Linked DNA regions of Anolis sagrei. The protein of the gene in region 4 interacts with the protein of the main gene of each other region in a pairwise test. Links are inferred from orthologs where the notes say so. Each region holds a gene or a part of one and is shown on either strand. Other genes may lie near its edges.

The links.
Region 1: the proteins of NCK2 (region 4) and WASL interact in binary tests that used the Homo sapiens proteins (3 or more experiments, as listed by UniProt). The two-hybrid records come from large-scale screens. The link is inferred for Anolis sagrei from reciprocal best matches to the Homo sapiens genes NCK2 and WASL.
Region 2: the proteins of NCK2 (region 4) and ABI3 interact in binary tests that used the Homo sapiens proteins (3 or more experiments, as listed by UniProt). The two-hybrid records come from large-scale screens. The link is inferred for Anolis sagrei from reciprocal best matches to the Homo sapiens genes NCK2 and ABI3.
Region 3: the proteins of NCK2 (region 4) and LRRIQ3 interact in binary tests that used the Homo sapiens proteins (3 or more experiments, as listed by UniProt). The two-hybrid records come from large-scale screens. The link is inferred for Anolis sagrei from reciprocal best matches to the Homo sapiens genes NCK2 and LRRIQ3.

Annotation. Positions count from the first base shown.
Region 1 is NC_090025.1:127,455,532-127,463,214, forward strand, and holds the start of WASL (actin nucleation-promoting factor WASL), read left to right. Parts: upstream 1-4,437; 5' UTR 4,438-5,083; coding exon 5,084-5,206; intron 5,207-7,683. UniProt on the Homo sapiens protein: Regulates actin polymerization by stimulating the actin-nucleating activity of the Arp2/3 complex. Involved in various processes, such as mitosis and cytokinesis, via its role in the regulation of actin polymerization.
Region 2 is NC_090026.1:32,483,992-32,491,540, forward strand, and holds the start of ABI3 (ABI gene family member 3), read right to left. Parts: upstream 3,477-7,549; 5' UTR 3,166-3,476; coding exon 3,046-3,165; intron 624-3,045; coding exon 456-623; intron 1-455. UniProt on the Homo sapiens protein: May inhibit tumor metastasis. In vitro, reduces cell motility.
Region 3 is NC_090024.1:161,747,619-161,756,071, reverse strand, and holds the start of LRRIQ3 (leucine-rich repeat and IQ domain-containing protein 3), read right to left. Parts: upstream 3,408-8,453; 5' UTR 3,244-3,407; intron 1-3,243. Other genes in the region: FPGT (fucose-1-phosphate guanylyltransferase), read left to right, coding at 3,511-3,589.
Region 4 is NC_090023.1:106,056,990-106,064,351, forward strand, and holds the start of NCK2 (cytoplasmic protein NCK2), read left to right. Parts: upstream 1-3,911; 5' UTR 3,912-4,319; intron 4,320-7,362. UniProt on the Homo sapiens protein: Adapter protein which associates with tyrosine-phosphorylated growth factor receptors or their cellular substrates. Maintains low levels of EIF2S1 phosphorylation by promoting its dephosphorylation by PP1.

The DNA.
Region 1 (7,683 bases), on a different chromosome or scaffold from region 4:
GCACTGATGTGACGTGTGATTTGTCGTCATATGCTAATGTTGGAGTGTTGTTGTTTTCAAAAAGTCAGAATCCAAATATATAGAGATTCATATATGCAAACTGACATCATTGAAAGAGACAAAAATTCAAATATCTGATTTATTTCTCCACATTGCAAACACGGCTGGTGGGGACGAGAGACAGGGCCTCCTCGGCCATGGCCCCCCACCTGTGGAATGCACTTCCAAATGAGATACGATCGACCCCATCCCTCCTGGCTTTCAGGAAGAAATTGAAATCGTGGTTCTGGGACCAGGTTTTCAGACAGCAGACATAAATCAGCACTTTGGTTGGAAATGGATTGGCAAGACGATATCTATGAAGATACGGTTTTATTGTTTAATTAATGTTTTATGTCCTGTCGAAGGCTTTCATGGCTGGAATCACTGGGTTGTTGTAGGTTTTCCGGGCTATATGGCCATGTTTTAGAGGCATTTTCTCCTGACGTTTCGCCTGCATCTATGGCAAGCATCCTCAGAGGTAGTGAGGATGCTCTGAGGATGCTTGCCATAGATGCAGGCGAAACGTCAGGAGAAAATGCCTCTAGAACATGGCCATATAGCCCGGAAAACCTACAACAACCCAGTTTTATGTCCTGTTTTAATTAATGGTTTATGTATTTTATGTATTTTAATGGCTTAATTTTTTTTTTGTATGTAATGGTTATTGTATTTAATTGTTTATATGTAACGGCATCGAATCGCTGCCAGTGTAAGCTGTCCTGAGTCCCCCTTTGGGGGTAGAAAAGAGACAGGGCAGAAATACCGGAAATAAATAAATAAACAAATAAACTCAATTCTACTTCAATTCTCTATGGGATCCAGTTTTCCCTGAAAAGAGTGTCATTAACCCATTTGTATCTCTCTATATCTGTTGCCCCACAGCAATAATATCAGAAAACTTGTTTCTTAATTTAATTTACTGTTTGTGGCTTGCTTCCAAGAATCATAGGGACCTGACAGAAGTGCCTTGCATGTTTTTGTATCACAAAATGCTTCTGGATTCAAAATTTTAATGAATTAGTTTTTTTAAAAACCTTGATTAGTTGATAGCATTTTAACAGTTATATTCGTAGCCCTGTACTTGGGATCTTCCTTTTTATGCTACAAGGATCTGAGTATTTTGTGGTTCAGTTTATAGGTGCTGATATTGGTGTGTATTCCACATGACTATGATTCTGATACCTTGGACCACCATAAAAGTCAATAACAAACATGAGCAATTCAAGCCTGAAATCTCAAATTATTAAACTACAGCAATTGTATCTTGGACTTTGTGTGAAAAAGGAGTCGTTGGAAAAAAAATGATTAACTTAAGGAAAGTGGAAGGCAATAAGGAAAGAGAAAGACAACCTTAGAGATGGTGGTTGTTGTGCACCTTAAAGTTGCTTCCTCAAAGATCATATTGTAGATGGTTGTTGTTCCTGTGTGCCTTCTAATCATTTCTGACTCATTGTGACTCTGACACTATCACAGGGTATTCTGAGACTGAGAGTGTGTGACTGGCCCAAGGATATTAAGTTGGTTTCCTGGCTGAGCGGAAAGCTTAACCCTGATCTTGAGTCATAGTCCAGTGCAAAAACCACTGAGGCCCCTTCTACGCTGCCTTAAAAATCCAGATTATCTGCTTTGAATTTATTTATTTATTTACTTCATTGATATCCCGTCCTTCTCACTTCACGGGGAACTAAGAACTGGATTATATATCAGTGTAGACTCCTGTAATTCAGTTCAAATCAAATAATCTGGATTATCTGTTTTGATAATCTGGATTATATGGCAGTGTAGATCAATCCTAAATCACACTGGCTCCATATGGCCTGATTTAATCAAGGATGCCACCACCCTGAAATTGCTAGAACTGAATGGAGCTCATTGCCATATAAAATCCACATTATCTGCTTTGAAATTGATTATATGGCAGTGCAATTATTAAATATTGCAATTATTAAAACAAGATCTGTTAAAACAATTCCAAACTCTCTGAAGATCCAACTGCATTAATTTGCGCATTATTATTATTATTATTATTATTATGCAATAACAATCCATAGCAACCACTTACATTTGCTGTGAGATTGGGAATAGCCAAATTTATAAGACGTCCTTTTACCCTTGCTTAAACTTTAAAAGAGGCACCTTCCACACAGCTGTATAAAATCCACATCGAACTGGATTATATGGCAGTATGGACTCAGATAATCCAGTTCAAAGCAGATATTGTGGGATTTTCTGTCTTGATATTCTGGGTTATATGGCTGTGTGGAAGGGCCTTGAGTTTCCGTATGGAGAGAAAAAGCGAGATATTAATAAACATCATAATTGGGTTGCTGTGAGTTTTCCAGGGTGTATGGCCATGTTCCAGAAGCATTCTCTCCTGATGTTTCACCCACATCTATGGCAAGCATCCTCAGAGGTTGAGGGGTCTGTTGGAAACTAGGCAAGTGAGGTTTATATATCTGTGGAATGTCCAGGGTAGGAGAAAGAACTTTTGTCTGCTTGAGGCTAGTGTGAATGTTGCAATTGGCCACCTGATTGCAGCCTGGGGGAATCCTTTGTTGGGAGGTGTTTGTTGGTTATGGGAGTTCTGTGTTCCAAGTTTGGTTCGATTCCATTGTTGGTGGAATTCAGAGTGCTTTCTGATCATAAGTGAACTATAAATCCCAGCAACCACAACTCCCAAATAATTTATTTATTTGATGCACTTATTATCCCAAATAACAAAACAATCCCCCCCAACCCCACCAGTATTCAAATATGGGAGTATTGGATATTTGTGCCAAATTTGGTCCAGTGTATGAAAATACATCCTGCATATCAGATATTTACATGACGATTCATAATAGTAGCAAAATGACAGTTATGAAGTAGCAACGAAAATGTTATGGTTGGGGGTCATCATATGAGGAACTGTATTAAAGGGTCATTGCATTAGCAAGGTTGAGAACCATTGCATTGGAGCAGGGGTCCTCAAACCTTTTAAACAGAGGGCCAGGTCACAGTCCGTCAAACTGTTAAAGGGCCGGATTATAATTTTTTTTAAAAAAATGAATGAATTCCTATGCACACTGCACAGATCTTATTTGTGGTGCAAAAAACACCTAAGACAATACAATAATTAAAATGAAGAACAATTTTAACAAATATAAACCTATTAGTATTTCAATGGGAAGTGTGGGCCTGATTTTGGCTGATGAGATAGGATTGTTGTTGTTGTTGTTCGCTTTCAACTCGATCCAGACTTAGGTTGACCCTGTGTGAGGACCGGGTAAATGACCTTGGAAGGCCGGATCTGGTCCCCGGGGCCTTAGTTTGAGGAACCCTGCATTAGAGCATGGATCCACTTTAAATCCAGTTTCTGCCCCCTTCAGAATTTTGGGGCTTATAGTTTAGGGAGGGGCCTTTAAACTGCTCAGCCAGGCAAGTCCTGGCCCTCACCAAAACTACAAACCCCAGAATTCTGCAGGAGACAGACACTGGATTTAAATTGGATCCATGCTCTAGGTCAGTGTTTCTCAACCTAGGAATTGGGACCCCTGAGGGGGTTGCGAGGGGGTGTCAGAAGGATCGCCAAAGACCATAAGAAAGCACAATATTTTCTGATGGTCATGGGGATTCCATGTGGGAAGTTTGAGCCAATTCTATCATTGGTGGAGTTCAGAATGTTCTTTGATTGTAATGAACTATAAATCCCAGCAACTACAACTCCCAAATGGCAAGATCTATTTTCCCCAGACTCCACCAGTGTTCACATTTGGGCATATTGAGTATTTGTGCTAAGTTTTGTCCAGATCCACCATCACATGAGTCCACAGTGCCATTTGGATATAGGTGAACTACAACTCCCAAACTCAAGATAAATGCCCATCAAATCCTTCCAGTGTTTTCCATTGGTCATGGGAGCCAAGTTTGGTTCAAATCCATCTCTGGTGGAGTTCAGAATGCTCTTTGATTAGAAGTGAACTATAAATCCCAGCAACTACAACTCCCAAATTACAAAATCAATCCTCCCCCAAACCCACTAGCGTTCACATTCGGGTGTATTGGGTATTTGTGCCCAGTTTGGTCCAGTGAATGAAAATGCATCCTGCATATCAGATATTTACATTATGATTTATAACAGTAGTAAAATGACTGTTATGGAGTAGCAATGAAAACAATATTATGGTTGGGTCGTCACCACAACATGAGGGACTGTATCAATTGGTCACGGCATTAGGAAGGTTGAGAACCACTGCTCTAGGTCTTGAGCAAGGTTCCACTTTAAATCCAGTTTCTGCCCGCTGCAGAATTTTGGGGCTTATAGTTTAGGGAGGGGACTTTAAACTGCTCAGCCAGGCAGGTCCTGGCCCTCACCAAAACTACAAACCCCAGAATTCTGCAGGAGGCAGACACTGGATTTAAAGTGCTCTAGTGTGATGAGGCTGTGCAGTTTGACACCTCTTGAACTGCCAGGCTGAGTGCTAAAGGATCCTGGGAGTCGTAGTTGGGTGAGGCATGGAACTACAACTCACAGGGAGCCATAGCACTGCGCCCTGGCAGTTAAAGCGGCGTCAAAGAGGGGGAAACCGACTGGGCCGGCGTTTCAGAAAGCTAGGCCGCAACCCGCGCCAGAGAGAGCAGGAGAAGGCGCTTTCCTCTCAGCTGCTCGTCCCCCCCTCTCTCTCTGTCTCTCCTTTTCCTTCTCAGGGAGGAGGAGGAGACCGGAAAGGCAAGCGCGGAAGGGGAGGCCAAGGCGGCGGCGGGGCCCTGCGAGGAAGAAGAAGACGCCTTCTCCGTTTCCGCGGCTCCCCTCCCGCGCCGCGCCTCTTGGTTTCGCCCGCGCCTCGCGCCCTGCCATGTTGGATTGAGCCGGGGACAAGTTAGAAGTTTAAGGAAGGAAGGCAGGGAGGAGGAGAGGGGGAAAGAGAGGCCGAGAGCAGAGGGGAGCCTCCTTCCTCTTCCTTTTCCTCCCTCCCTTCCTGGGCCACTGCTCTCCATGCCCCTCTGAGGGGCCTGCCTGCCTGCCTTCCTGCCTTCCTTCCCTCTCCGGCCTGGCCCCGCCATGAGCAGCAACAACAACGCCACGCAGCCCCCGCCGCCGCGGAGGGTCACCAACGTGGGCTCCATGCTGCTCACCCCGCAGGAGAATGAGAGCCTCTTCGGCTTCCTGGGCAAGAAATGCGTGGTGAGTGAAGGAGGGAGGGAGGGCCGCTGCGAGGCCTGCTCTGGCGGGAGGCAGACAGGGCCCTGCGCCAAGTGACAGCCCAGGGGGGCTGAGGCGGAAGTGGCCCCCTGGGGCGGGCGAGGGGCGGGCTGCGGCCTCTGAGGGGGCGCCTTGAAACTCCCCCCTGAGGCGCTTCCGTGACCAGGAGGACCTTCACCAGGGGAAACTTGAAGCCCTCCTCTGAGGTACTTCTGTCACTAGAAGGACCCCCAAAGGGGGGCTTTTTGAAACTCCCCTTTGAGACACTTCCATAACCAGGAAGACCTTCGAAACTCGCCTCTCATGTACTTTCATAACCAGAAAGACCTTCACCAGGGGAGACCTGAAGCTCTCCTTAAAGGCACATTAGAAGGGCTTCCAAAGGGGGGCTGTTTGAAACTCCCCTCTGAAGCACTTCCATAACCAGGAAGAACCTTTAAAGGGGGAGACTTGAAGCTCTCCTTATAGGCACATCTGTAACTAGAAGGACTTCCAAAGGGGGGTTATTCAAAACTCGCCTCTCATGTACTTTCATAACCAGGAAGACCTTCAAAAAGGGAGACTTGATGCTCTCCTCTGAGGTACACCTGTTACTAGAAGGACCTCCAAAGGGGGGGGGGGGTATTCGAAACCCGCCTCTCATGTACTTTCATAACCAGGAAGACCTTCAAAGTGGGAGACTTGAAGCTTTCCTCTGAGGTACTTCTGTTATTAGAAGGACCTCCAAAGGGGGGCTATTTGAAACTCCCCTTTGAGACAATTCCATATCCAGGAAGACTTTCAAAGGGGTAGACTCGAAGCTCTCCTTAGAGGCACATCTGTAACTAGAAGGACTTCCAAAAGGAGGTTATTCGAAACACGCCTCTCACATACTTTCATTACCAGGAAGACCTTCAAAAGGGGAGACTTAGAGGCATTTCTTTTCCCCAGGAAGTCTTTCAAAGGGAGGATTTGAAGCTCTCATCTGAGGCAACTTTGGGTCCCGTGAAGGAGAAAAGCAGGATATAAATAAATATTTATTATTATTTAATATTATGACTTCCATGACCAGGAGGATCTTCAGAAGGAGAAACTTGAAACTCCCCTCTAAGATATTTCCATAACCAGGAAGACCTTCAAAAGGGAGCTATTTGAAACTCCCCTCTAAGGTATTTCCATGACCAGGAGGATCTTCAAAAGGGGAGGCTTGAAGCTGTCCTCTGAGGCACTTATATTACTAGGAGGATCTTCAAAGGGGGCTATGTGAAACTCCCCTCTAAGGTACTTCCATGACTAGGAAGACCTTGAAAAGGAGAGGTTTGAAGCTCCCCTCTGAGGCTTTTATTTTTCCCAGGAAGACTTTCAAAAGGGGAGACTTGAAGCTCTCTTCTAAGGTACTTCCCTGACTAGAAGGATCTTCAGAAGGGAAGATTTGAAGCTGTCCTCTAAGGCACTTCTATTACTAGGAGGACCTTCAAAAGGGGGCTATTTGAAACCCCTCTGAGGCACTTCCATGACCAGGAAAACCTTCAAAGGAGGAGACTTGGAGCTCTCCTTAGAGGCACTTCTGTTACTAGAAAGACCTCCAAAGGGGGTTATTTGAAATTTCAAAAGACCTTCAAAAGGGGAGACTTGAAGCTCTCCTCTAAGGCCTTTTTTTTTTCCCCAGGAAGACTTTCAAAAAGGGAGACTTGAAACTACTCTAATGTACTTTTATTACCAGGAGGACCTCCAAAGGGGGCCTACTTCAGGCTCCCCCCGAAACACTTCCATTACCAAGAAGACCTCAGAAGGGGAGACTTGAATCTCCCCTCTAAGGAACTTCCATGTCCAGGAAGACATTCAAAGGGGAGGCCTAAAGCTGTCCTCTGAGGCACCTCTATTATCTGAAGGACCTCCAAAGGGGGGGGGGGGTATTTGAAGCTCCCCTCTGAAGCATTTCTGTTGCCAGGAAGACCTTCATTTGGGGAAACTTGAAGCTCCCCTCAGAGGCACCTCCATTACCGGGAGTACTTTCAACAGGGGGTATTTGAAACTCTTCTCTGAGGCTCTTCTGTTGCCAGGAAAATTGTAGCCTATGGCCCTTAAAAGGGGCAACATGAGATACTGCCATTGCCAGGAAGACCCCTATGGCGCTTGTTCCAGAGGCTGTGATATGATGTTTGTGGAGAACTAGAATTTTCACAGTTTGGGGAAGGTCCAAACAAGTCTCAGCTTTTCATCTCCCTGGGGTTCCCTTTGTGGGCGTCACAGAGAGGGAAAAGCAAGCAAACCAGAGCACCCCCGTCCCCCTGCTGAGCCTTTCTTTCCCACACAGCAGCTACTGGCTTCATTTTATTTTTCTTGCTCCTGGTGGGAGTGGGAATGGGAAACAAGCCAGGAGAGAAAAGGGCCCTACTGAGAACATACTCAGTAGAGTTTGTTGGGGAACAGGAGAGTGCTCTAACTTCCTTTCCAACCCCAAGGATTGGGTGAAGTCT
Region 2 (7,549 bases), on a different chromosome or scaffold from region 4:
CAAACAGATAAATAACTAGTGAAAGGACAAAGCTGATTAATCCATTCCACTGATGTTTCCTGATTTATTATGCGTTTTTCTTCATGTTGTGGTATTATACCAGAGAAACAGGAAAACCATCAGGCAGCTCTCAAGTCTTTTTTCCAGTGAACAGGAAAAGGGATCCGAGTCTGAGAACATTGTGTATATGTAATATCAGCCTCCCTACATTCCATTGGGAGGGGAAAATAGAAGGGGAGGAAGAGCTCACTTTCTGACAAATTCAAAGGGGCTCTCAGTTTGAGGATGGGTTTCCTCTGGGCCTTCAGCAACAATCCAGATTGACATGTCAAGAACCACAAAAAAATATCCACCTAGTAAAAGGTTCTAGTTTAGAACCACATGTCAGATGAAGCTCTTATTCCCTTCTCACACTATTCATGTTATCTCCCCAAATACAGTTCTTTCTTGCTCACCTGTGTGATGGAGCAGACATTGGCTTCCACTTGCCGGATTTCAGCCGCCTGCAAGTCCAGCATTTTGAGGATGTCGCTGGCCAGGTTGCTGATTTGGTAGGCCACGCTGGCTAATGATTGAGTGGCAAAACCCATCGTTTCCTCAAGGGCTTTCCGTTTGTCTTGTGCCTAAATTATTTCAGAGGAAGAGGGAAAGGAAGAGGAAGAAGAAAAAGGGAAACTTAGAGAGATACTAAGGGCCCTTCCAGACAGGCCCTATATCCCAGGATCTGATCCCAGGTTTTCTGTTTATCCCAGATTACCTGGCAGTGCGGACTCTTATAATCCAGTTTAAAGCATAAAACCTGGGATCACATCCTGGGATATAGGGCCTATCTGGAAGGGCCCTGAAATGTCTGGTAGTGGCTTCTCAGATGTGACTTTTGCTATAGGAACAGAACTTTAAGTATGGTTTTGTCTGTGTGGAGCCTCCAGTGATGCAGTGGGTTAAACCACTGAGCTGCTGAACTTGCTGACCAAAAGGTCAGTGGTTTGAATCTGGGGTGAGCTCCTGTTGTTAGCCCCAGCTTCTGCCAACCTAGCAGTTCGAAAACATGCAAATGTGAGTAGATCAATAGGTACTGCTTCTGCAGGAAGATAACAGCGCTCCATGCAGTCATGCTAGCCACATGACCTTGGAGGCATCTACGGACAACACCAGCTCTTCGGCTTAGAAATGGAAATGAGCACCTCCCCCCAGAGTCGGACACAACTAGACTTTATGTCAGAGGAAACCTTTGCTTTTACCTACCTTTGCCCGTGTGATGCTACAAACCTGGGGAAGTTTATAGGTTATCCCCAAAACACTGGGATTTACTTTTTGTTGAAATCTTCACAAAACCCAATGAAAATTAAAATGAAAGTTGCCTATAATTTGCTTATCTCTAGAAAGTATCCTCCAATGACCTTCCAAGAAACTGAAACTTACTCCTTAGTCTAAAACAACGTTCCCTACTCTTGTACTGTATTAGGCGGAACTGAGCAACTGCATAGATGGCATGGAATAATTTACACCCTTCATAGAGACTTCCCAATGGGTCATTGAAGTGCATTGAAATGAGGTCATGGCATATCTGGCAATCATTTTTCATCTGCATCTTGATACAAAATATTATTTTGTTTCAAAAACATTGCATAAAATAGTTTATTTAAAACTGATAAAATAAAGGGCTCACAAGTTGCTAGATAGTTTTAGACCAAAAACGGGCAACAGCGGCTGCATTGTCTGTAGCTTTAAACAATTCTTCCTCATTGCATGAGGCAGGGCATTGTGGACAAGCATACAGATGCTGAGTTGTTTGTTCTGCTCCACAGTCACACAAGGGGGAGGATTCTTTTAGGTAGTGCCATTTTGCCAAGTTGTCTTTCGATCTGCCAACTCCGCTTCGGAGTCTGTTCAGGGACTTCCAAATTGCCCATTCTTGGGGAAGACCCTTGTGGGGGGCCATCCAGTTAGTACTACCAGTTTTTGCTACCTACAGGGATATTCTTGCTGTTGCTTTTGATCCAAAGATGGCATGGGAGTGGGGAAATCAAATTGCTGAATAACAACTTTTTTTTTTGCCTGTTGGGGACATTTAGAGTTTGAAAAAAAATCAATCCAAAATCACCCCAAAGTTTCAGCTGGAGCACAGATTCGGGGTTTTTAGGACATGTAAAGAGGCTTTGGTACTGTAAAACTGATCCCCCTCCCATCCCTTGGTTAGATGATTTTCTGGCTTTCCAGGCAGGAGTGTTGGTTGGCTAGAATCTCTGCATAAATGAAATATTCATCCCTCCGCTTCCTACATCATCCCAGAGGTTGCTAGTCCCTAGCTCCTGCAGCAGCCAGCTTCCTATATAAATAAAAGGTGTTTCAACAGCTTTGGAGATAATTCCTGTGCCATCCATCCCATTCACATCAGGAGCTGGCAATACCCTCAGCAACCTAGGAAACTATCTTTCCACACTTCTGTTCAAGCATGACTTAGAGTGCTGCTTTTTATAGCTAACTCTAGGGTAAGGATGGGCAAACTTCAGTTTGCGAGGTATTTTGGACTTCAACTCCCACAATTCCTAACAGTAGGTTGTTAGGAATTGTGGGAAGTAAAGTCCAAAATACCTGGAGGGCCAAAGTTTGCCCATGCCTTCCCTAGACATTCTTCTGTCTGAGGCAATGGACAAAGTGAAGATGATACCATCTCCCTATTCTACATACAGAAGGTAATTGAAGGCAAACTCTTCCTTCAGTAACAACAAGGGGATAACACTTTCTACCACAACTGGGAGCAACAGGCTAGTTTATGACACTCCAAATTACTTCTTGACTACAAACCCTGGAATCTCAATTTTTCTGGAAATTCTAGGAATTACAGTCCAAAAGGTAACTCAAGTCTCCAATAGCTGTAAAATAGTGCAGTCCTCCATCAAAAGGGATAAATCAGACTAAGAAGGGATTATGGGCAGCAGCTCCAAGACCTGCCACCTGAACTAGTTGTTTCTACCCAATGGTAGAGCCAGCCCCACTTCTATGGCAAGTGCCATCTCAGAATCCTACCCAGCTGTGACTCACCTGCCCATAGTTGCTCTCACAGTAATCAGCCACTTTGAGCAGGTTGCTGTAGTTTTCCTTCAGGACCCCCCTTGCACAAGGGATGGATGCCTGTATCAGCTGCTGCAATTCGGAGGACATGCTGTCATCAGTCTGGTCTCCACACTTCCTCCTGACAGCGTGCGGTGTGGCAACTTCACCCAAGATCCGATCTCAGTTTCACACAACTCATGGTGACACTGTCTGGCTGGGACCTCTTTTATACTTGAGTCGACGCCTCCTGTGGCAGAGCCCATCCCACCCCTCGGTCTTCTTGCTGACACCCTGAGATTTATTGCTGTCCTCCAAGTACACATGGAAACTGTGTGGACATCCTCTTTCATTCCTGGAGTGACAAGTACCTCCACGCTTAGCATACAAGATAAGAAAACTTTCTTCGGCTTGAGTGAGCAACAATAAATGACGAGAAATAACTGAGGAAATGTTGAGGGAGATGGTGCAGGGAGGGGAGAGGGACTGTCAAGAGAGGAAACTATTATTTATAGAACTTTGTTTGCTTAACTGATTGCAGCAATGCTGACTTTTATTGCTAAGTGAGCCAGGTGAACATGTGTAACTTAACTCAGGCCCCTTCTTCATAGCAATGTAACATCCAGATTATCTGCTTTGAACTGGATTATATAGCAGTGTAGACTAAGGGCTCTTCCATACAGCCATATAACCCAGATATCAAGGCAGATAATCCACAATATCTGCTTTGAACTGGGTTATCTGAGTCCCCACTTCCATTACTTACTTACTTACATACTTACTTACTTACTTACTTACGCAATCCCACCTTGCCCGAGTAGGATAGTCTTCCAGGATCAGTATTCTGGTGGGTCCGTAGGTGACTGTGGAGTCCTATTTTTGATCTGCATCTTCTCCTACAGTGAGGGCATTGGTTTCCAGGTGAAAAGCGGTCTCGGTCAGGGGTGGCTTGACGCGCCTTCCTCTTAGCACGTTTTTCTCTTTCACCCTCCATTCGTGCCTCTTCAAATTCTGCAGCACTGCTGGTCACAGCTGACCTCCAGCTGGAGCGCTCAAGGGCCAGGGCTTCCCAGTTCTCAGTGTCTATGGTTTTTAAGGTTAGCTTTGAGCCCATCTTTAAATCACTTTTCCTGTCCGCCAACATTCCGTTTTCCCCACTGCCATATAACCCAGTCCAAAGAAGATAACGTGGATTTTTGTATAGCTGTGTGGAAGGGGCCAAAGATAATCCAGTTTAAATCAGATAATGTGTATTTTCTCCTTTGATAACCTGAATTATCTGGCAGTGTAGAAGGGTCCTCAGCGTTTGGGACAGCATATTTTAGTTTATAGTTCATAGCATCCTTGCTTGGGGATTCTGGGAATTTATCTTTCCTTTGATACTAGTTCAGAGCACACATTGCTAGTCAACATAGAAAACCAAGGATGAGCTCAATACTACTACATTGTATCTGATCCATCAAACCATTATGCCCAAGCTGCCCAACCCATGGACCCATATGTCTCCTGTCCCATTAGGAGAGAAAAAAACAAAAGAACCTTGAAGCTACTCAGGGAAAGTAAGAGACGAACAACGCAAATTGTAGTTTCTGTCTCTGTTTTGTGCCACTATCTAAGTCTGCTTCCATCTTCCTTGGCACATACAGAGAAAGCAGAAGTCAGGCCAGCTATACTTCTATCTTGAAGCACCAACTCAATTTTGCACTGACCTTTACATTTAGCCCTTTCCAAGGTATTGGTTGGAAGAATCCCTATCATTAGTTCCAGGCAGAAATTCAGCCCTACCAAGGTTCCTCACTTCTGCACCAACAGTGGTTCCCATGATATTGGAATTATGAAACTACTACAGGTTTTTAGTTTCCTTAAAATTTAAGGGAACTGACCAAGGGCCTAAACCCTGAAAATTAAGGAAACTGACCTGGGGACTAAAACTCAGGTCTTGCCAATTACTTCCTCTGAAATATTGCTACAGTTCCTGGTATTAATTGGCAGCCTCCCATCCATTTTTGCTAAAACCTGTTTAGTTTCCAAGTTCAGAGAGAATTTGGTGCCTTTATTTAACCCTCTTTTGAGGAAGGTAAATGCAAAATCACCCGAACCAACCAAGCAATGTTGAATTAATTTCCTCATGTTCTGTAAAATCCATATAATTGAAGTAGCAATAGTTGTCAGCATAACCCAGAAGTTGGCAAAACCAGCTCTCCTGCCCAGGATCTAACAAAGTTTCTAAACTAAGGCCCTTGTGAAATAAATTACTTTATGATGCACATATTTGACAGTGCATTTCCTATTTGCCATTAAAATAATAATAATAATAATAATAATAATAATAAACAATGCAAAGACTCTGGCACAAGCCAGTCAAGGTGGTCCCAGTGGTGATCGGCACACCGGGTGCAGTGCCTAAAGACCTTGGCCTGCTCTTAAACACAATCGGCACTGACAAAATTACCACCTGCCAGCTACAGAAGTCCACCTTACTGGGATCTGCACGCATCATTCACCAATACATCACACAGTCCTAGACACTTGGGAAGTGTCCGATGTGTGATCCAATACAACAGCCAGCAGAGTGTCTGCTGTGGACTCATCTTGTTGTGTTTCAAATAATAATAATAATAATAATAATAATAATAATAATAATAATTGCACCCTGCCACCATCTCCCCAAAGGAACCCGGGACGGCTCACAGAAGCACTCCAAGTGCCACATGCAGACAACCATACATAAGTACAGGGCCGTAGCCAGAAAAAAATTTCGGGGAGGGTTGACAATTTCGGGGGGGGGGGGTTTGAAAATTTCGGGGGGGGGGGGGGAATTTCGGGGAGGGTTGAAAATTTGGGGGGGGGGTTGAAACCTGCCTCCTAGCTCACGCTAAAGCAAAGCGCACAGCAGGGGGCAGAGCAACCTTCAATAGCCTGCAGCTCCACCCCTGTCAACCACCTCCACCAAGTCTGGCCTCCTTAATGAGAGCATTCAACACACACACACACCACTTGGTTGCTTCACTACATCGCTATTGCTGCAAGTAATGACAGTGTGAATAAATTGTCAATATTTGCTTGAGATAGTGCTTACAGCTCTGGAGGGACTCTTAATTTTTTGCATCTCATAGACTTAGCATGGGGATTTGGTTAACCAGTTAAAATTCATGAGTAAACCAGTTTTTTTAAAAAAATCTGAAACATTTCGGGGGGGGGTTTGAACCCCTAAAACCACCCCCTCACTACAGGCCTGCATAAGTATAAACACAATGACATAAATATAATCAACAATGCATAAGAAGAATGCCTGTCAAGGATTTCTTTGAATTACAGCTGAGGCGCTAAAGCTGTTAATTTGCTGAAAAGGCAGAGACAGCTTCCAAAGGTACAAGATGATAAAAAGAGCCAATGGGAGCACAGCACATACTTCTGCAGTCCAATATCCTTGTGACCCATTAGATGCCCATGGGGTGGCCACAGGTTGTTCACAAGCACTGATATTAGGAACCGAGTGTGCATGGGGAATGCACACTGCCCTCTTAACATCCATCCAGTTCTGCTCATGTTAAGCCACTAAGTACCTTTAGGAGACTAATTCCTACTGAAAGACTACACAGAAATGCAACTTGAATTTAACCTTGATGTACCTGATCATAACTTTTTGTAAATATATCCAGAAAGGAAGGTGTGGGTTGGGGGAAGGATCAAGGTTAATGTTCACATGAGTCATTCCCTTGTCCTTCAAATATAGAACCTTACCCCTGGGCCTAGTTGCATAGAGATTGTTATTGTTGTGTGCCTTCAAATCATTTTTGAATTATGGTGACCCTAAAGCAAACCTATCAAGAAAGTAAACCTCACAACCTCTGAGGATGCTTGCCACAGATGCAGGCGAAATGTCAGGAGAGAATGCTTCTAGAACATAGCCATATAGCCCGAAAAACCTACAACAACCCAGTGATTCCAGCCATGAAAACCTTTGACAATACAGTTTTGGAGGACTAAGAGAGTGTGACTCACCCAAGATCATCCACTGGGACCCCTTCCACACAGCTGAATAAAATCCCACATTATCTGCTTTGAAGTGGGATATATGTCAGTATAGACTCAGATAACCCAGTTCAAAGCCGATATTGTGGGATTTTCTGCCTTGATATTCTGGAATATAGGACTGTGTGGAAGGGCCCTGGTTTCCAGAGTCAGAGGGCCCTTCCACACAGCCATATAACCCAGAATATCAAGGCAGGAAACCCCACAATATCGGCTTTGAACTGGGTAATCTGAGTCCAAACTTGGATAATGTGGGATTTCTTGTGTTGATATTCTGGTACATAGGGCTGTGTGGAAGGGCTCCCAGTTCAAAGCAGAAAATGTGGAATTTTATCCCCCTGTGTAGAAAGGGTCAGAGCCCAAAGTTGAAGACACTACACCAAGTATCCTCAAACTATGGTCCTCCAGTTGTTTAGACCTCCAACTCTCAAACATCATGACAATTGAACCAGCTGGCTAA
Region 3 (8,453 bases), on a different chromosome or scaffold from region 4:
TTTTAAGACTCATACACAACTGTTTGTATTGTAGAAGGGGAGACACTACACTTATGTAATGCAAGATTAAGCAACATGTATACAAGGATTGCATGCCACTGTCTCTAATAGCTCACCTGTCTTCTCCATTAGGAAATTTGCCCGCTCTCCACATGGGGCAAAGTACAATGATCCTAACACGAATGAGACCAGAGAGGCTAACCAGAGGGAAGAATGGTACAAAAAGAGAGGTAGCTGTTTTTCATTGAGGGAACAGCTATCAAGTTTTGCCTGTTCACTTGCTTTTTCTCATTTGTAGAATAGTGGGGATCAACATATAGCAACCCAATAAATTTAATAATATTTTATTAAAGAGCACGCAAGAGATGTTTTTACAGTCCTTTCCTCTGAAATATAGTCTATAGGACTTGGTATTTATTGGTGATCTTTAATCCAAGGATTAACCAGAGTGACACAATGGGTTAAACTCTTGTGCCAGTAGGACTGATGACCGAATCCGGCTCAGATGAACTCCCTCTGTCAGCTCCAGCTCCGGTAGGACTGAAGACCGACAGGTCGCAGGTTCGAATCCGGGGAGAGGCGGATGAGCTCCCTCTATCAGCTCCAGCTCCTCATGCGGGGACATGAGAGAAGCCTCCCACAAGGATGTAAAAAAAAAAACAAAAAAAACTTCAGGGCATCCCCTGGGCAATGTCCTTGCAGACGGCCAATTCTCTCACACCAGAAGCAACCTACAGTTTCTCAAGTCGCTCCTGACATGAAATATTAATAATAACCAGAATTGGTCCTGCTTAACTTTGAAGTCAGGATCAGTCAGGATCTAGTGGCTTTGGGGGTGTTTGGGGCTTTGCTTCCATTTTTTTTTCATAGTTGCTGATTCTGTCATTACATTCAATGAAATGTGGAAACTATGGTGGGCAAGTAACAAAGTACAAAAATCATTATCGTACAACCCTCATATCTGCAGGGGACATTCCAAGGCCCTCTAGGGACACCTGAAGCTATGGAGAATAGTTAACCTTATTGGTTTGGCTATATATGGACCAGAAGTATATCATAGGGTTTTATTTGAGATGCCCACAAACACTTCCAAGGAGGAATATTTTGTTGCATGAATAAGGGAAACTGTGGATATGAGAGCCATACTTTTTGGAATTCAGCTGTTATGTGCCTTAGCCAACAGAGTCAGTTTTGGAAGACAAAGGGAATAACAGTTCAACTATACTTATAACACTATGTAACAAAATTTGATAAAATTGTTCCTGGATTGAAAATGTTATTCCTATTTCATTGTACTTTGAAAGTAGTTGCTATACTCCAGAAACTTCATTTTGGGGGGGTGCCACAAACTATGTTGAATTGGTTGCGACTTGATGAGATATTCATTGATAAAAAGTATAGCAAAAATGTACTGCAGGATGTTCTGCAGAAAACAAAGTTTTTGCAATTTAATACACCTTTTCCATGTTTTTACGATAGAATCAATGAGGAAATGACATTTATAACCCAGGAACAAAGATCCTGTTACATAGTGTACATAATGTGTCTGTTGCTTATCTATGATCTCACTCTAACTTCATATTGGGAAGCTTGGGAAATGTGCTTTTCACCCAACATTGCTGCCGTTCATTGGTTTCTGACCTGAAGGAGAGAAGGTGATTTGCTTGTTTCTCCTTTTCAGTGCCAGCATAATCAATGTGGAACTTTCTCAGCGGCTGAGGGTACATCTATCTGCTTCTAAGTTTATTTCCAAGTGGCATTTGAGTCATTCCTTCCTTACTTCCCTCCCTCCCTTCTACCCCTCCTTCCTTCTCTTTTTCTTTCCTCCTAGGGGATGTTTAGCTGGGAGAAGAAAAGGTAGAGAGGGAACATGAGAATCATTTTTCAAGATTTCAAAGTGTGTCCCATTGAGGAGGAGGGGAAAACTGATTTTTCTGCTGCTCTAGAGACCGGGGAACAAGGGAGTAATGGTTTCAAATGGCAGGGAGTGAGATTTGACTGAAAAGATTAGGAAGAACTTCCTGAGAGTAAGAGCTGTTGGAAAGTGGCATAGCTGCCTCCGAGTGAGGTGGAATCTCCTTTTCTGGAGGCTTTTCCACAGAGGCTGTCTATTGGGAGTGCTTTGATTGTGCCTTCTTGTATGGCAGGGGGTTGGACTGGATGGATCTTGGGGTCACTTGGGTGCTAGGATTATATATCAGGAGTAGGCAATATGGGGTCTAATGGATACACTTTTTCTCCCCTGTCCACCATCTCATCTGACCAAGGCCAACCCCTTTGAGAGCCAAACGTTTCTCATCTTTCCTTCACTTTCTGCCTCCGAAAGAGAAGTGAAAGGGGAGGAAAGGGCATGGAGGGGGCTTGGGGAGAACCACCTCCCTCCTGCCTCCCCCCCACCCCACTCCGGCCCGCCTGTGGCCCCAAGTTAGAAAGTTTACCCATGCCTGGTTTAACCAGTATTGCACCACCTGACATCCGCTGGGAAGTAGCAGCCAGCAATGAAAGGACCAAGGCACTGACATCTCTGAGCCATCCTCTGTTCAAATATCAACCAGCAAGCCAACACATTAAATCAAGAAACAGCTTCCTAAGATCTACAGAGATACTGGTAGGAACCCCTCAGCAAGCAAGAGTCCAAAAGTGGCAGGTTAAATCCCACAAACCTCAATCAGTAGCTGAAAATGGATGAGAAACTCCCTCTTGGGCACACAGAAGACCCGGCGACATGGAAGGAAGGCACTGAACGGACTGTGCTCTGGCACCACAAGATGCAGAGCCAACCTTAAGAAATGGGGCCACAAAGTGGAGTCCATGACATGCGCGTGCGGCAAAAGCACAGACCACCTGCTACAATGCAGCCTAAGCCCTGCCACATGCACAATGGAGGACCTTCTCACAGTACTCGAAGTGGCCAGCTTCTGCTCAAAGGACATTTAGTAGAATGCCAAGCTTTTAACTTTGTTTGTGGGGTTTTTAATACACTATAACTGTATTCTCAATTTGTTTTTGACACGATAAATATATAAAAATAAATATAAACTATGCAAAAGTTAAAAAAACAAAAACCTCATACTGTATGGTGTGGTTGAAGAGGGGGAGACACCAACCATAGTGACAACACTGAAAAGAAGTCTTCTTTGGACACCTCTCACAAATAAGATGTTTATGGTTCCCTTCAAATTAAAGAGAGAGAGAGCGAGAGAGGGGTCTATTCCATACCAATATTCAGAAAAGTCTGCTCACCTTTCTCTGCTCTATGTATTGACCCAAGTTCAACGTGCTATGGGGTTCTTTCTCTATCTGTCTATTAGTCTTCCCCTTAAAAAAAATGCCTTGCAGTGACAGTAGAGGCGTAAGCAAACTTCGGCCCCGCGCGGCTCCCGGTTACCCTGGCAACGGGCTCCGGTTACCTCGGCAACGGGCTTGCTTCCTCCTTGCGGCCTACTAGGCCCGGCCCACTCGAGTCCACCCGGAAGCACCGAGGCGAGGGCCGAAGGGGCCGGCAGCGCCATGCAGGGTTTAAGCCAGGCCGAGGTCGGGCTGCAACAGGCCACCCGCGAGAGGCTGGAGAAGTTCACCAAGCTGAGAGGTGGGAGGGCGCGGGCGGGGGGCGAGGGAGGGCGGGGCTTGGGAGGCCTGGCCTAGAGGCCTTCCCTGCCGCCTTTATCCCAGGGCACAAGGAAGGTCCTCCTTACAGCCCTTTCGGGCGCCCACATAGAATGAGCACTAAAAGTAAATCTACACCAGGCATGGACAAGCTTGGGCCCTCCAGGTGTTTTGGACTTCAACTCCCACATTTCCTAACAGCCTCGGGACTTTAAGCTTAAGCGGCTGAGGGGGGAAAGGAAAAGTCCCGAGGCTGTTAGGAATTGTGGGAGTTGAAGTCCAAAACACCTGGAGGGCCCAAGCTTGCCCATGACTGTTCTACACACTGTAGAATTAACACATTTTGGTAGCCACCTTGGGTGCATCCTCATTGATGCATCATAACATCTCTTTTAACTGTCAAGGCTCAGTGCTATCAAATATTGGGAGTTGTAGTTTGGTGAAACACCAGCACTTTTCTAATAGAAAGGTCTAAAACCACAACTCCCATGATTCCATAGTATTGAGCCACAGCAGTTATTGTGTTGTAGGTTTTTTCGGGCTGTATGACCATGTTCTAGAGGCATTCTCTCCTGACGTTTCACCTGCATCTATGACAAGCATCCTCAAAGGTAGTGAGGTCTGTTGGAACTAGGAAAAAGGGTTTATATATCTGTGGAATGACCAGGGTGCGACAAAGGACTAGCTCCAGCAGACAAGAGTCCTTTGTCTCACCCTGGCCATTCCACAGATAAATAAACCCCTTTTCCTAGTTCCTAGTTCACTACCTCTGAGGATGCTTGCCATAGATGCAGGCGAAACATCAGGAGAGAATGCCTCTAGACCATGGCCATACAGCCCAAAAAAACCTACAACAACCCAGTGATTCCTGCCATGAAAGCCTTCGACAATACATATTATTATTGTGTTTATTTATTTATGACATTTATATGCCGCCCTTCTCACCCCAAAGGAAATTCACAGCGGCTTATTTATTATTTTTATTTATTTACAGCATTTATATGCCGCCCTTCTCACCCCGAAGGGGACTCAGAGCAGCTTACAAGATATATATACATTTTATTATTTATTATTTAAACATATATGCCACCACTCCACTGGGGCTCGGAGCAGCTTCCTGGGGCTCGGAGCGGCTACATAAAATATATTATATTATTAGCATAGTACAATTGTTGTTGTTCATTCGTTCAGTTGTTTCCGATTCTTCGTGACCTTATGGACCAGCCCACACCAGAGCTCCCTGTCGGCCGTCACCACCCCCAGCTCCTTCAAGGTCAATCCAGTCACTTCAAGGATACCATCCATCCATCTTGCCCTTGGTTGACTCATCTTCCTTTTTCCTTCCATTTTCCCCAGCACAATTGTCTTCTCTAAGCTTTCCTTTCTTCTCATGATGTGGCCAAAGTACTTCATCTTTGTCTCTACTATCCTTCCCTCCAATGAACAGTCAGGCTTTATTTCCTGAAGTATGGACTGGTTGGATCTTCTTGCTGTCCAAGGCACTCTCAGAATTTTCCTCCAACACCACAGTTCAAAAACATCTATCTTCCTTTGTCAGCCTTCCCTAAGGTCCAGCTCTCACATCCGTAGCTGACTATGGGGAATACCATTGTATAGTACAATATCAGTATTAAACATTACTATATTGTATTATACCATTATATTGTAATATTAATAGTAATATTACATGTAATATAAATATATAATTATAATATATTAGTAGTAGTAATATTATATTGCATTACATTATAATATTATTAATGTTATATGTATTTACAATATATTATATTATATTATTAACATAGCACAGGAGACAAGATGGAACTCTCTTCTGCCCCCCCCCCCCCTTAACTTTTATACCCTGCTTTTTCCCTCCACAAAGGAGAGTCAAAGCAGCTTACTTTAAAACACATTTAAATACAGAGGCTTTCATGGCCAGAATCATTGGATTGTTGTAAGTTTTCTGGGCTGTATGGCAATGTTCCAGAAGCATTCTCTCCTGACACTTCGCATGCATCTTTGGCAGGCATCCTCAAAAGGTTGTGAGGTCACAACTTCTGGGGATGCCTGCCATAGATGCAACAGGAGAGAATGCTTCTGAAACATGGCCATATAGCCTGGAAAACTCACAATAACCCAGCATTTCAATACTATTTGAAATCTACAAATATGCAAACATTTAAACAGAAAATAATATCACTGGTGTTTTTTAAAAAATATCTGTAAAACTTACTGAAAACACATTTGGAGTTAAAGAAAATCACTGTTAAAATCCATTAAACTTAACTAAAAACACATTCAAAGTTAAAAGAGGTGTCAAACTGAATTTAATTCAACTCCTTAACTGCCCCCTGGTAGCGATCTGGTGGCACAGCAGATTAAACCACTAAGCTGCTGATTGAAAGGTTAGTAGTTTGAATCCTGGGAGCAGGGTGTACTTCCACTGTTAGCCCCAGTTTCTGCCAACCTAGCAGTTCAAAAACCTGCAAATTTGAGTAGATCAATAGGTACTGCTTCAGCAGGAAGGTAACAGCGCTCCATGCAGCCATGCTGGCCACATGACCTTGGAGGTGTCTAGGTACAACGCTGGCTCTTTAGCTTAGAAATTGAGATTAGCACCATCCCCCAGAGTCGAACAATACTAGACTTAATGTTAGGGAAAACCTTTACCTTTACTTAACTGCCGAGGCTCAATGTTTTGGGATCACAAGAGCTGTAGTTTTACAAGCGCTTTCACCTTCTCTGACAGAGTGCTGGTACCTTGCCAAACTGCATATCCAAGAATTCCATCATACTGAACCATGGCAGTAAAAACAGTGTCAAACTGCATTTATCCTTAAGTGTAGACCAGGCCTGAGTAAACTTTTTCACATTGGGGCTGCATTGTGTTTTAAAATTTAACAGGATGGAAGGGAGGGAGCACACGCTGGGTGGGGTTCATGGGGGGCTGGACAGTGGCAGTTGGCCGGGGGGGGGGGGGCAAATTCATGTGTTTGAGCCTCACTCTAACTTCCACATCTCAAGGCTATGGAATCCTGGGAGTTGTAGTTTTTCAAAGTATTTAGCCTGATCTGCTAACGAGTGCCGGTGTCTGACACGTGAGTCCTCTGGGCAGTTGGGAGGGCCCTCCTCTCAGTATGAGAACGTGATGGCTCGCCTTGTCCTCATGCTAAAAGGAAGGTGTGACAAATGCAAGCTTGTTTTCTGCTTCCCTGGAGACTAGGATGTGGAACAATGGCTTAAAACTACAAGAAAGGAGTTTCCATCTGAACATGAGGAAGAACTTCCTGACTGTGAGAGCTGTTCAGCAGTGGAATTCTCTGCCCCGGAGTGTGGTGGAGGCTCCTTCTTTGGAAGCTTTTAAACAGAGGCTGGATGGCCATCTGTCAGGGGTGATTTGAATGCACTGTTCCTGCTTCTTGGCAGGGGGTTGGACTGGATGGCCCATGAGGTCTCTTCCAACTCTTTGATTCTATGATTGTATTTTATATCTGGTCCTTGCACTGTAGTTCCATTTGCTTTCTGTGTCTATGTTAATGGCTCAAAACTAAGAAAAACAAAAACTTTTTCTCCATGTGTTACTGCACTCTTGGCAATAGCTTAGATAATGAAACCCTCACAATTAGCTTCACTGAATCCATGCAGAGAAATAAGCACATTAATCCATGGATGCTGTTAGGAAACACAATACTACAATCTTGGCAAAGCTAAGCCCATCCAACTATGGCCAGTGGTTTGAATCAGACTGGGAACCTATGGAAACTGCTCTTTTTCGTAAAAAAAAAAGAAACAGTCGGATATAAGTGCACTAACTGAACTAACAATAAAGCTAAGGGAGGGATTACTAAATAGCAATAATCTGAATGCAAGTGCGGCATTTGATGGGGTGATGATTTTGACAAGTAGACCATCAAAGGAACAGAAATAGCTCCTTGCCTGGGGGAAGCAGTAATGTCTCCTAGCTGCAGTCTGAGTTTATCCTTTTTATCTTCTGGTGTATATAGTGAGAGGAAGCAGTTAACTCTCATATTGCACTCTCTCCCAGTACTGAGGGGTGGGGATTAAATAAAACACCAACAGGGAGGCAACAAATATAACTCCTTCCTTCAGGCAAGGAACCATAGCTAGTCCTTTTACTTGCCACTAGGTCAAAGAGTGAAGATAAACCAGCTCTTGAACTCACTTCAGCTTGCTTTGCCTTTTGGGATAGTCGAGAAAAAGAGTTCTATAGATTTCTACACATACAGAATATTCAATCTGGTTTATAAATTTCATTCTTTTCACTTGTATAGTTGGAAGTCCTTAGAGAGACTAGTAAATCCCCCTATCGCTCTCTTTAAGGTATCTCCTCTACATTCCAACTCTGAAGCTTTCCTGAAGGGAAATGAAGGATTTTATATAGTTCTTTAAATGGTTGCTCTTAGTCACCTGGGTGTTCTGCAGTCAGATTTAAAGCACAGAAGTTGTTATTGTCGGAGAACTATGTGGATCCCCTGTGGGTTGTTCTATTTTATTTTGTTTTGTTTTTCACATGGTTGTATTAAAATGTTAGTATTAACATAGAATGGACAACGATAGGGAAATAATATATATTTTACAGTCAGATCTCCACGCCTGGAGGTTTGATTTTGCAAATATGATAAAAAAATGTTCTCTCTGAATCTTTAAGTTCTCTAGGACTTCCGTCAGAAGTTGATCATAAGATAATGATGGAGGATTAGAATGGCCTAGAGATAACATCTCTCTAGGAAACGTTAGTTCTTCAGTTGTGATTCTTTAATCAACATCCAGACATTCCTAGAGAGGTGCATTCTCAGGTATTAAAAACTAGCACATTTCTATAAAAT
Region 4 (7,362 bases):
TCTGAAATAACGAGAAAGGTTCCCCTACTTCAACCAAAGCCCCTAGAACGATTCACAAAAACAACAAGAGCATCTCTTATTTCTTTAAAATTAAGGCAGCGCTTCCTATTCTAACCGAACCAGCATGTTAACTGCAGAGAAGATTTTAAATTCAAACAGGACATAATTCAGGACATAATTCAAAGCTGAGAACGTTTTTTTGTTTCTTTCTTTTGATGTGGTTTTGCTTATTTTCTTTCTCATTTGCTTTTTAGAAATACTGATGGATGTCATGCAAAATAACAATAAAAATTTATAGCGGAGGTGGCTGCATGCTAATCTCTGGGGTCCCCATGAATCTTGGCACCATCAAATAAAATTTTCTAACAACAACTTTTGATTTCAGCTTAAATCTGTTGTTAAAATAATAAATATTTTAAAAGAAAGGACATAACAAAGCAAAGGGAGAACTGGACACCCCTTCTATCTCAATGGACCCAAATAGCCATGGCTGTGCCTTGTGTCAAAATAACTCACTGCGCAGATCTTCAAAGGCATGAAGAATGCTGAAGGTGGCCAAAGGAGATTCAGGTCAGCTTCACAAGTTCCTTGGTTAGCTTTGAAAATTTGAGCTATGGTTTACCTTAGCTTCCCCAGATTTCCCAATTGTTCTTCTCTTCTATTTTTTTGGTTATGTATTTAATGTTCCTCCATCTACCTGTTCCCTCAATCTCTCTCTCTCTCATCCTGCCCAAAGCTCTGGTAATGAAGGGAGTGAGAAAAACCAGTATGGAACCAGTGAGACAGCCTTACTTATCGGAATGGGCAGGATCCTTCCACCAGCCATTGCACATCACAATAGGAAAAAAATAGTTCCTGGCTGTAGTGCTCAATGCATGCAAATGTGCTCCTTGTAAATCCTTGCTCACATAATACAGGCCAAGCATTCTTTATCCAGAAATACAAAATGCTCCAAAATCCAATGATGAATTGGCCCCCAATGCTTAACCAGGGATCATCCAGATGAGCGCTTCCCAGACTTAGTCCTCCATTATCTTTAGACCTTTGCTTCCAGAATTCCTGACTTTTGGCCAAGCTGGCTGGGGCTTTAGGGAGGTGAAGTCCAAAAAAAGATGGAGGACCTAAATTGGGGAAATATTAGTCCAGACTAACATGGCCATGGCTGTGTTTACACTGCAGAATTATAGCCGTGTGACAACTTGAACTGCCATGCTATGTCATTTTGGGATGCGTAGTTTTGTGTGATATTTACCTCTGATTGAAAGCTCTGATGCCACAACAAACTACAAATCCCAGAGTTTACAAGATGGATTCATGACAGTTAAACTAGCATCAATCTGTTATAATTCTGCAGTGTGGATGGTTCCCAGCAATCCCCATACCTTTTCAGTCATGGAACCCTGTTGAAGACAACTACATTCTGTGGAACCCTAACTCATCCCTGATTTGTTTAATCAAAATATATATTCTGGTTAATTTTACGCTAATTGAAATACGTTTATCAAGTTCATATATAAACTCTAGTTTGGGAGCAAATTTTACTCTTGATGTTTTATGAATAATATCCCAAATGTCTTTTATTTTTCAGAATATTTAGTCCAGATTTTTGACTAGGACCAACTTTGTGGCACAATTACAGGGCAAATGGATCTTGTAGCACCTTTGAGATTCACTGAAAGAAAGAAGTTGGTAGTGTAAGATTTCATAGATTTTTATCTACTCTATCAGTTGCATGAAGTGAAGGAACTGACAACTGGAAACAAGAGGAGAAAGTCTAGCAGAGTATTCAGCGATGCAATTTTGTGCCTGATACTATAGCCTTCTGTAGTGTCAAAAACAAAACAAAACAAAACACTAGAGTATTTTTTTTTCAGTGCTCCAACGTGTTAGGGAGGACAGGACTGCATATTCCATATTTCTTTCACAATATTGCTGTTCCGTATTTCTGTTCCACATTTCTTTTACAATATTGTTCATTACTAGTGTCTATAATTGCATTAATATTAGTTTATTGATATGTACACTTTCAATTCTTTATTAAATAAATAGAAGTGAAAACCTAATAGGTAAAAAAATTGAACCAAACCACCCAAATACAAGTTGAACATCCTTTACAGGGACAGATATTCCAAAACCAAAAAACTTCTAGATACAACTTGTACTGTTACACACTGTTAAGGTAAAGTAAAGGTTTCCCCTTGACATTAAGTCTAGTCAAATCTGACTCTGGGGGGTGGTGCTTTTCTCCATTTCTAAGCTGAAGAGCAGGTGTGTTATTTATCTGTTTGCGTATTTACAATAATAAAACCTTAATTTATTTTATTCTGAAAAAAAGTATTCAAAACAAAACAAAACTATCACGATACAAAAAGAAGCAAAGGTTTTTATAAGATACATTACTGAAACTGCAGCTGGGGGAAATGGCATTGAATATTTGCCATTAGTATGTTGTAAACCGCTTTGAGTTCCCCCAGGGGTGAGAAAGGTGGTATACTAATAGAGTAAACAAACAAACCACATTTTGGCACCACTTTCATGACCATGGCTGAATGCTATGCAATCCTAGGAGTTGTAGTTTGGTGAGGAACCAGCACTCTTTGTCAGAGAGGGCTTAAGACCTGTACAACTATAACTCCCAGCACTCCACAGCGTTGAGCCATGGCATTTAGAGTGGTGCCAGAAGGCAGCATCCACTCTTGGGCACAGGAGAGACGCATCCTCCTGTTCGGGCTTTTCTTCCTCCCTGATGGGCGGCTTCGGGAAGGCGGTACTTCCACCTGGGACGTCACGGCGGCCACCCAATCGGCTTCCTCGGAGCCCCTGACGCGTTCCTGAAAGTTCCCTTTCCTCTCGGGTGGCCCTTCTGGGAACGGGAGACGGGTTCTATTTTTAGCCGGGGGGAGGGGAGGGGGGGAGGGAGAAACAAAGGAGGGCCACTCCACCCTAGCCTGGACCGGGCATCCGAGGTGAAGCCCCCCGCGAAGCCCTTTCGCCCTGCCAAGGAGGAGATTCACCTGGCAATACCCAAAAAACAGTGATCTTTAAAAAGTTGCATCTACACTGTAGAACTATTGCGGGTTGGAACCCCTTAGAAGCCCAATGCCTCAAAGCTGTGGGATCCTGGCAGCTGTAGTCCTACGCGCTCTTTACCGAAGAGGAGGGGCGCCCCGTAAAACTAGATCTCTCTTGGCACTGAGTCCACGTTAAGCTGCATTCCTTCTATGTTGCCGATGCGGCCTAAGCCTCGCGAGCGTTCCCTGTCCGAAGCCTGAAAAGAAGCGTTCTTTGAGCGCACAAAAACAGCCGGGAAAAGGCCTCACAACCTCTGAGGATGCTTGCCATAGATGTGGGCGAAACGTCAGGAGAGAATGCTTCTGGAATGTGGCCACACAGCCCGGAAAACTTACAGTGATTTTGAACCATGAAAGCCTTCGACAACACTAGTCGAAAAAGAGTTGCTGCCTTCCTAGAATCATAGAATCCTAGAGTTGGAAGAGACCTCATGGGCCACCCAGTCCAACCCCATTCTGCCAAGAAGCAGGAATATTGCATTCAAAGCACCCCTGGCAGAGGGCCACCCAGTCTCTGCTTAAAAGCTTCCATAGAAGGAGCCTCCACCACACTCCCTCCGGGGCAGAGAGTTCCACTGCTGAACGGCTCTCAGGAAGTTCTTCCTCATGTTCAGATGGAATAGTCTGAAACTTGGAGAGAAGAGGGGCGCCTACTCGAGATGTCCCACGTCAGGCCACCAAAGCGGGCCGGGGGCTGGTGCCACCTCAGGCCGGGAACCTCCTCGTCACACTAAGGAGGGAGGGAGTGTAGGCGTGCCCCAAGTGAAGGCCGGCCCTGTCCCTTCCTCCATTGGGGAGGAGGAGGAGGAGGAGAGGGCTGGGCCCCGCCTTTCCCTCCCACTTTCTGAGGGAAGCCGAGGAGGAGGAGGAGGAGGCTGGCGATCCTGGGCCTCCCGTCGCCGCCTTCCCCGAGCGGCAGGAAGGGAGGGAGGGAAGGAAGGAAGGAGGGCCCTGACTGCCGCCTGGGTGGAAGGGGAGGGGCCGGAGCCGTTGCCGCGGGGCTGAGGCGGAGGGAGCTGCCGTTGGGCCTTAGGCGCGCCGAGCGACGGAGAGGAGGAGGAAGGAGAAGCGAAGGGAGGCGGAGGAGGAGACCCCCCTCTCTCTCCCTCTCTCTCCCTCCGCCGACGCCGCGGAGACAAAAGAGCCAGCGAGGGAGGGCAGCCTCCTCTCCTCCCTCGGCCCCCCCTCCTGCCATTCTCCTCCTCCTTCTTCCTAGGGAGCCCACAGAGAGGACAGCCCGCGTCCCAGGTAGGAAAGAAACGCCAAGGGGAGAGGAAGGGGGCCGCCAACTTGTGGAGTTGCCGAGGGGGAAGCAAGGCACGCAGGCAGGAGGGAAAGAAGAAAGAAAGGAAGGCGCCCTCTCGTCCCGGGCCTGGCCTAGCCAGCGCGCCCGGGTGGAAGAGCCAGGCAGGCAGGCAGGCAGGAAAGAGCCGCCCTTCCCTCTCCCAACACTCCAAGCTTTGGCTTCTTTTCCCAGGGAGGAACAACCCGCCCCCCCCCTTTCTCGAAAAACCTAAATCAGGAGATCCCCCCCTTTTGTTATAGATCACCCCCACGTTTTCTTTACCGATTCTCTCCCCACTCCATTTTAACCCCCCTTTTTCCCTTCCATTTCTGGAGCGTGAGAGGGAAACTATTGTTTCAGAGGGCTGGCTGCCTCTTTCCTCCCAAGAAAGGAGTTGGGAGGGAAAGGAAGAGAAGGAAGGGAAGGAGAGGAGGGAAGGAAAGGAAGGGGGAAGGGAAAGTAAAGAAGGGAAATGAAGGAAAGAAGGAAGGCTGAAGAGGGAAATGAAGGGAAGGAAGGAAGGAGTGGAAGAATGGATGAAGGGAAAGGATGGAAGGAAGGAAAGGGAAGGAAAAAGAGGAGGGAAGGAAGGGGTTTGTTGTTGTTGCTGCTGCTTTTTTTCTTTACAGAAATGATAAAAGGGAGAGAACTGTTCCAAAGGGATCCTGGTCTCTTCCCCTAATCCTGGAAATTTCCCCAACCGAAGTGGGTGGCCAAGGGGTTTGGTCCCCTCGGGGAAGAAAGCAGGAAGGGGCCAAAGGCTTTGGTCTTTCCCCCCAGGGCCCCTTCAGCTGTGGAGATTTCCTGTTTGTGTGTACAGGGAAGGGGACTGAAGTCCGTATTTCTGGGCTCCATTGTGGAGGGAGGGGTTTTTTTGGTGGGGGAAGTGGCAAGGAGGAGGGTTTTGGGGGCGTGAGTGGGAGCCATCCGGAGGGAGGACTGGAAGGCTGTGCCCACCCACCCCATCCAACCTTGCCCCCCTTTGGGGTTTGGAGGAAAGATGGAGCAGCACTGGCACATGATCCTGGGTTATTACATGTTTTTATTTTTTTCCCCCTTGGCCAGACAGCTGCTGGATTGTATCAGGGTGGGGAAGGGAGGCATCTCAGCAGGATCCGTGTCTAAAGAGGGCCATGCTCCTCCCTTGTTGTTTTCTTACATCTGTGAAATACCATCCCTGACCTATCTTTCCTGGTGGTTGTTCTAAAGCGCTCTGTAAATGATGCGTGTTGCTATTATCTTGGGCAGAAAAGCACCTCCTGTTTTTATAATCAGATCTGATCTCTTTCTCTGGGTGAATGAGAATTATTGTGACTTAAGTTAGAAATTTTAGGGGGCAGAAAACATTAACCACTCTTCTCTTCCATGTGTTAACTTTGTGTCCAGAGTATCCCCCTGGATCTCCTTACTTCCCTGAAATCTGTGTTCTTTGTTAGTTTCTCACCTCGAACCATTTCCAATTTGATGCAGAGGTGAGCCCAGGTGTGCTCTGCAGGAAGGTGCAGCCAATCGGGACTTCTTGACCAGCCCACCTGTATGATGTACCTGCCCACTGCATCCACACCTGAAATCTTTTCTTTCTGATACAGGGTGATTGAGGGTTGTGGAACCTTCTAAGATACTGAGGGAGGCAGGGATTTTCAGTGCTGGCAGTTTCCTCTCTCTCTAATGATGTACATTGCTGCATGTTCAAATCCCAGTTTCCAGGAGAATGGTGGCATCATTTTAGTATCATGTGGGCTGCTTTCTCTACCATTTAAACACAAGAATAGTGACATCAGACACATCCCTTGCTGCACATCAGGCTTCCTGGACTCACCTTCCTCTTATGATATTTTTTTTTTGTTTTTAGCTGCCATCAAGTTCACTTTGAATTAAGGCAACCCATGAGTGAGATACCTCCAATATCAATAGCCCTGCTCAGGTTTTGCAGGTTCAGAACTGGCACTTCCTGGTTGAGTCCATCTTTCTGAAATAAGGTCATCCTCTTTTACTAGTGCCTTCTACCTTACTAAGCATTGTTTTTCTTTTCTATTGAATCATGTTTTCTCATGATACGGCCAAAGTATGACAGTCTTTGTTGTCTTCTGGGGAGAGTTGAGGCTTCCTTTGTTTAGAACCCTTTTTTGGACTTGTTTAGTACTTCATATCATTATTCCTTTTCAATATGGGTTCTGGACCTTTGCTAGAAGTTGAAGTGAGGAGAAAGGAATACCACAGACTTGACTTTGAAAGATATGTAATTGGGCCCCTGAACCATTTCATGAAATGAACATTACCAAAGTAGATCTGTTTCTCTTCTTTCCACTGTGCCTGTGTCCATCACGGAGAGGGATTTTTTTTTAAAGCAGTGATTTTGGGGAAATAATAATAAAAAAAAATAATACACTTTATTTATATTCCACCCTTCTCCCCTAGGGAACTTTGAGCGGATTACAGCATCTACATACATAGGCAAACATACACATATATATACTCACATGAGTGGATGCTGATTGTTTTCCTGGATCGTGGAAGGGCTAATGTGAATAAATACTGCAGCACTGAAGAGTATATCCCCTTCATAACCTTTAGATATATACATGTCTGTTTACTTTCATTCCTGTGGAAGCCATTACCATGCTCTTTGGGGATCTAAAGAGCAAAATAAGTTTGTATCTAAGTCAGTCCTGATGGGTATTGCTCTTGGCAATAGCATGCTGAGATCTTGTGCTTTTTTATTTTCACAGTGATAAGTTGCATCAGCATATGATTGTCTATATGCAAAAGATAAATTATGGCAGTAGATAAGTACGTGCTGACTGGTTGTTGCTGCTTTAATGATATGAGTAACCAGGGTCAAGAACAGGGCCTGTCGTCTTCCCAGCTGTGTCCCCCGTGGGTAATTCTTGCTTTCTTGCATATGCCATTCCTCTTTTTGAAAGCTAGGTCCTGCACTAAATGCAGTGTTTTCAGTTTTATCAGTTCAGCTTCTCTTGGCAGGTGATTCAAGTGATCTTTTCCATA